2 linked regions of the Ovis aries genome follow. The protein of the gene in region 2 purifies or fractionates together with the protein of the main gene of each other region. This does not show direct contact. Links are inferred from orthologs where the notes say so. Each region holds a gene or a part of one and is shown on either strand. Other genes may lie near its edges. The genes, in order: TNKS1BP1 and CAPZA1.

Region 1 (3,819 bases), on a different chromosome or scaffold from region 2:
GGTTCAGGGAGAAGACCCAGCCAGGGCTCCGGGCTCCCCACCCCGTCCGGAACTCCCTGACTCACTCCTGCGGCCGGGGGAGCCGTGGGCTCGGGGCTGCGGAGCCGGCCGGCCTCGTCCCGCAGCGCGGCGTTGGCCAGCAGCCTCTCCAGGACCGACACGCTGGGCTCCCGGTCCCCGGGCCCGGCCATGGTCCCGGCCTCCGGTCCCCGCCCGCCCCGAGGCCCACTGGGCGCGGCGAGTGCTGGGACGGGGCGGGCCGCTCCCCTCGCCCGCCCGGACCTGTCCAACGGCCCTGGCCCCGCTCCCTGCAGAGCAGCTGCAGCTCTCAGCGCCCCGCCCGGGGGCCAGTTGAGTCACCGCATCCCGGGGCGGACAGACACACCTACCGCGGACGGACACACCTACCGCGGGAGCCCAGAGGGCTTAACTCCTTCCTGCTCGTTCCCCAGGCCCCGCCCAGAGGCCCCGGCTCCTCCCTCCCCCCAGCCCCGCCCCTGCCAGCCGCGGGCTGGGCGTGAAAAGTTCGTTTCAAACGCCACCTGGACCCCATCCCTGAAACCGCTGGGCAGCCCGGTAGTTTTAGAAAGGGCACTGGCCCTGGAATCGGTGCTCTGGCCCTAGCCCAGCTGCCAGCTTACTGGGTAACCTTTGCACAAGGCTCTGCCTCCTCTGGGCCTCTACGAAAGCAAGTCTGAACTTCACAGTAAGAACATTCCAAGATGCAACACTCCCAAGCACTCGCGATGGGCGCTAGTCTGAGTACTTCACAAGCACTGCAGCCATCACCCTGCGAGGTAGAGCCCAGCACCATTCTCCCCATTTTACAGACGCAGAAACTGAGGTGCCGGCAGGAAAGTCATGTGTTCAAGCTCACACGTGGGCCAGGAACAGGGCCAAGACAGCAACTCGGCAGTCTGGGTCCAGGACCCACGTCTATCTGACTCTGCTGGCGCCCTTCATGAAACCACCCATCCTCACAGACTGAACGCTCAGGGGTGCCAAGCCCTGCACCCAGCGTTTTCCACGTCTGTCTTGCCCACAACACAACCTAAGTGTCCTCGGTCGCTCAGTCGTGTCCGACTCTTTGCGGCCACACGGACTGCAGCCTGCCAGGCTCCTCCATCCATGGAATTTTCCAGGCAAGAGTACTGGAGTCAGTTGCTATGCCCTCCTCCAGGGGATCTTCCCATCGCAGGGACTGAACCTGTGTCTCCTACACTGGCACGCAGATTTTTAACCAGCAGTGCCACTCGGGAAGCCCCCAAGTCTATGAGGCAAATGTCATCATTGTGAAAGGGCTCTGAAGCTTGGAGGTCGGCGTATGTGCCCGAGACCACTCAGCTGACGGAAGCTGGGGTCAGATGCGGACTCAGACTAGACTCTAAGCAGCAGTCCATACCCTCTGCTCTGCCAGCTGAGCCGACGGTACGGACCTCCAGGGCAGGGGCAGAGGTGCCTGCTCACGGCTGGATCCCAAACTCCCGACACAGGGCATCCGTGTTGAAACAACGAGGCCCCCCGAAGCCCCTGACTTCCATCCTGAACCCTGCCCAGGGACCCCCTTACCTCAGAGCAGGCGCTGGGGGTCGGGGCGCCCTTCAGCTCAGACGGGGCACCCCGCCGTGCAGTGGGCGGGGGCGAGGCCAGCAGGTCGTCCAGCCACTGGGAGCTGCTCTCGGGCCCTGTGGGCTCGGGGGATGCCCGGCGGGGGTCTTGAACCGCTGTCCTGGGTCGGGTGGTCTCGGCCAGGGCCAGGGCCAGGGGGTCCTCCTCGACAGACAGCGCCTGCCCGGGCTTGGGGGCGTCGACGAACAGGACGCAGGGCTGGTCCGGGGGCACTGGCTGCTCCTGCCCCAGGACAGGCTCCAGGACGCGCAGGGCGGCCTCCTGGGCGGGTGGAGGGGGCTCCCGTTCCCCATGTATCTCTACCTGCAGCAAGGCTGGTCCAGGTGGGTCCCCTGCTGTTGGTGAGGACTCCAGAGAATGGTCCTCCCCACCGCCCACTGGGCTCTGGGAGGAGCCCGGGTCCTCCCCCGGCCCCCGGGAAGCAGATCTTCCTGGTCCCTCTGCAGCCAGCGGGGACCCCGGCCCTGGCTGGGACACGCCTTCCTCCCGGGTGGACGCAGGCCAGTCCCTGGCCTCCTCGCAGATGGACGTGGCCCCGCCTCCAGCCTCCTCCTGGGTGGACACGGCCCCATCTCTGGCCTCCACAGCCTCCGCGGCCCCACCTCCGGCCTCCTCGCAGGTGGACACAGCCCAGTCTCCGGGGTCCTCGCGGGTGAACGCAGCCCCTCCTCCGGCCTCCTCCCGGGTGGACGCGGCCCCGCCTCCAGGCTCCTCCTGGGTGGACGTGGCCCCATCTCTGGCCTCTGCGGCCCCTCCTCCGGCCTCCTCCCGGGTGGACGCAGCCCAGTTTTCAGCCTCCTCACAGGCAGACACGGCCCCGTCTCCAGCCTCCGCGGCCTCTGCAGCCTCCGCAGCCTCGGTGATGGGGGAGGGCGGTGGGGAGTCCAGCCGCCACACCCCGAGGCCTGTAGGCCGTGTGGGGAAGGTCCATTCAAAGGAGTGAGACAAGCTCCAGCTGGACTCTGTCCCACTCCCCAAGGGGTGGTCCAGGGCGGACGGGCTCCCCTGGGCCTGGGGCAGGGTGACCAGCGAGCCCCCCAGCTGCTCCCGGCCTGGGCCGGGAGGCCGCAGCACACCTTCAGAAAACCGCCGCTGGGCCAGGCCGCCAGCAGGGCGGTCCTCACTCCCTGGGGCCGCGCCATCCCCAGATGCAAACGTCCGAGGCAGGTCCGGCAGTTCACCTGCTTCCGTCAGGGGCTGGGGTGCTGTGGCTGGGGACTGCTCGGGGCTGGAGTGCCCCGTGAGCTCCCGCACCATGGGGCTGCCGGGTCTGGGGGCCTCCGGGGCGGCCACGGCTGGGACCCCTGGGCTCGCAGGCAGGTGGTGGGAGCCTTCCTTGGGGAGGCCCGCAGCTGGGGAGCCCAGAGTCTCAGGGGGCAGGGAGGGAGGCCTAGGAGCAGCAGGGCTCTGGGCCTCTGGACGGTGGGGGTGAAGGGGAGAGCCCCCCTCGAGGGAGTCAAGGTGAGGAGACTTGGGGCCCGAGCCCAAGGCTTCAGTGGGGAGACCCAGGCCGGGGGTGCCTCCATTCTCCAAGGTGAGGCCTGGACCAGGGGGCACCCAGGGCTTGAGAACCTGCAAGAGAAAGTCAGGAGCCGTCACTGCTACGCAAGCTCAGGGAGGCCCCTGCCCACCCCTGAGAGACCCCAGGTCAGCGCTAGCTGCCTGACACTCTCACTCCATGGGGGAAACCGGGGCGCAGGGACAGCCCCAGGACAACCAATAGAAGCTCCAGAATGACCTCAGGCGTCCGAGACTGCCAGGGCCCCCAGACCCTCCCGTGTGGCCCTCCCCCCACAAAATGCACAGCGCTCCATTCCCAGGGGATCACTCAGACCACGCCCACCCGCATCCCCCAAGCCCAAAGCTCATGTGAGTTCCTAAGGGTCCAAGGTTCATGGGTCAGGAACACTGGCTTTGTGCGCTTTCCTGGTGGTCCAGGGGCTAAGATTCCACACTCCCAATGAGGGGGGTCCCGGGTTCGATCCCTGGCCAGGGAACTATATCCCAAGTGTGGAAACTAAAAGTCTGCATGTCATCACTGTAGATCGCGCGAGCTAGAGTGAAGATCAAAGATCCCGTGGGACCCAGTGCCGCTGAGTATGTAAACAAATAAAATATGTGTTTTTACAACTGGCTTTGTAAAGGAAAGGCAAAAGGAAGCTAGAGAGTCTGGCTGGCTGGGTGCGTGGC
Region 2 (2,870 bases):
CAGAGCGTAATCTTATTTATGATCTTTCTATTCACAGTGCCAAGCACAGTGTCTGGAATGCAATAAGCACATAGTAAATGTTTATTAACTAATAATCAGTTTTTCCTGCTAAGTAAAGAGAATTCTTAAATTTAAGTGTTCTGTGAATTTCAAGCGCCATTGTAAATTACCATTGGCCATATTAATTGTTTGCTCAGAGTTGGTGAGATTGAGGGTGACTGAAGGCATGGATTTGTGCTCTAAGCAGTAAGTTTCTATGTGCTCTAAGCACTTACATTTCTTAACTTTCTTGCACAGGTTCACTATTATGAAGATGGCAATGTTCAGTTGGTTAGTCATAAAGATGTACAGGATTCAGTAACTGTTTCGGTGAGTGTGGAATATTTAATGTATGTCTCACTTGTGTCTAGTTTCTCTTTTAGATCTTTTGATCCTGAGTACTGATTCTGCCACTAGAAATGTGGTTGTTTTCATTGCTTTGATTTTGGCAGCTTGTTTTTTTTTAAGAACTTCATTAAAGACCTTATTTTATTGTTTTTAATTTTTATTGAGTATAGTTGATTTACAATGTTGTGTTCAAGTATATAGCAAAGTTATTCATATATATATATACACACACACACATATATATATATACATACCTACTTATATTTTTTAGATTCTTTTCCATTATAGATTATTAAAAGATACTGAATACAGTTCCCTGTGCTACTCATTAGGTCCTTATTTTTGGCAGCTTATAATTGTTAGTATATAACCAACCAGTTTTGTTGGTTAGTTGATGATAGTTCACAGACTGACTGAGAATAGTGATAATGGCTTTAGAGAATTCATGCTGCTTTTTCTTTCTCTCGTGAGATTTGCTCAAGGACAGTAGTATCTTCAATTGATAAATACCAGGAGGAAGGAAAGTTTGCCAAATTAAACCCTATAGGATTTATCATTCATATCATTAGAGAAACTGAACATTTTTAGAAATGTTCAATAATAGTATTGTACACTATATCTGGAAAGAAGGGACATAATTTTTTATGCATTTATAGTACTTCTTAATATTCCTAGAAATTACTGAGCTTTTGTTTATGTGTGTTATATCTATCTACCTTAGTAGAAATTAAAATTGAAGAATATTAAAAATATGTATTTTTTAATTTAAAAATAACAGGGATGTCCCTGGTACTCCAGTGGTTAAGATACCATGCTTCCACTGCAGGAAGCCTGGGTTCAATCCCCTGATGGTAAACTGAGATCCCTGGTGTGGCCAAAAAAAAATCTAAAGCAAAATATAGCATTAACAAACCCATTACTTCTTAACTTTACTTTCATGAAAAACAGCTGTATTTTTCTGAGTTAAAAAAAGTAAGTGGAAAGAATATCATTAATTTACATTTTCACAAAGTGTGTAATGTCTAACTAATAAAAGACAGCTGGATATGTGCTTCACACATTAGCTCTCAAAAAGTAATGAAGTCGTCACACATTACATAGCTTCTATGAAACTACATGCACACATTTGAAAGTAGAAACGGCAAGTAACTATGTCTTAGTATTATTATGAATAAAAAGTAGTTTTGACTCTTCTGAAAGAATCTTGGGGCATGGCCCTAGGCATTAAATCTCACCCTCTCTAATTCTGTTTACTTAAAATTGCGAAAGGAAGTGTGAGATTAAATTCATTTTGTACCCAAATCATGTAAAGTGAAATGTGATTGGTTGTCTCAACATCATAAGGAGAAAATAGAGGAGCCTATGAACTTAGAAGATATACTTGATATGTCTGAGATCATTGTTTTTATCAATTAAACCAGAGATATTGTCAAGGCATAAAAATTTCAAGACATTGTGTTATCTTTTGGGCATACTGTGGTAGATTGGAAAGAAATGTGGATTGTTTTGATGAAGACCTACCTAGATTTGGATCCCATCTTTATGATTCAAAGGCTGTATAATTTTGGTCATTATTTGAAAGAATTCTGTTTTCTTGTCTGCAAAATGGAGGTGGCAATAATAACATGTATTTCACAGGGTTGTTTTAAAAATCAAAGAAGATAATGTGCACAGGAAAACTTGAAAAACTAGATTGTTATACAAATGTTAGTTAAGATGGACTTACTCTTTAGTATCTTTTTTATTCACTACTTATTGAATTTTATTCACTGCTTAAGATTTTTTAAAATTCTTACTATTCCCTCCATTAGAATGAAGCCCAGACTGCCAAGGAGTTTATTAAAATCATAGAGCATGCAGAAAATGAGTATCAGGTAAGATAACTTGAAACTGTTTTTTATAGATCTATATAGATTTTGCTTTTAACACATTTGTTATACTTCTCTATCCTTTGAACATAAATATACATAATTATTCAGTGATACTAAGTATGGAGACTTTGCAGACCTTGCAACTTTACATTCTGCTTACAGTCAAGGTTTTGGCATTGGAAGGTACTGCAGATATATCCCCATTACCCCAAAGTAGAGCATCCCTATGAAACCTTTCCAAGGCCAAATGGTGTAAAGCGGAGAAGCATTTACCTTAGAACACATCTTGCTATCAGATGTACAGAATGATTGAGATACTCCTCAGATCCTCACAGACACAGTTCACAGCTCTGGCTTGCTTGATGGCAAGATGCTGAGTGTAGTTCCCAAGGAAGGAGCTTGGTGGGGCCACTATTACTGCTCAGGGTGCACCCTGTCCCTGTAACAGCCTCACTGCCAAACAAATGGCTAAACTCTTTTTTTTTTTTTTTTTTTTTGCTTTGGTAAAAGCAAAGTGAAAGTGGTAGTCACTCAGTTGTGACCGACTCTGCGACCCCATGGACCTACAGCCTGCCAGGCTCCTTTGTCCATGGAATTCTCCAGGCAAGAATA

What was found.
Region 1: the proteins of CAPZA1 (region 2) and TNKS1BP1 purify together in Homo sapiens (affinity purification with mass spectrometry; 3 studies listed by BioGRID and IntAct, with this or other methods). This does not show direct contact. The link is inferred for Ovis aries from reciprocal best matches to the Homo sapiens genes CAPZA1 and TNKS1BP1.

Annotation. Positions count from the first base shown.
Region 1 is NC_056068.1:79,343,388-79,347,206, forward strand, and holds part of TNKS1BP1 (182 kDa tankyrase-1-binding protein), read right to left. Parts: intron 3,202-3,819; coding exon 1,570-3,201; intron 1-1,569.
Region 2 is NC_056054.1:90,059,464-90,062,333, forward strand, and holds part of CAPZA1 (F-actin-capping protein subunit alpha-1), read left to right. Parts: intron 1-297; coding exon 298-369; intron 370-2,198; coding exon 2,199-2,261; intron 2,262-2,870. UniProt on the Homo sapiens protein: F-actin-capping proteins bind in a Ca(2+)-independent manner to the fast growing ends of actin filaments (barbed end) thereby blocking the exchange of subunits at these ends.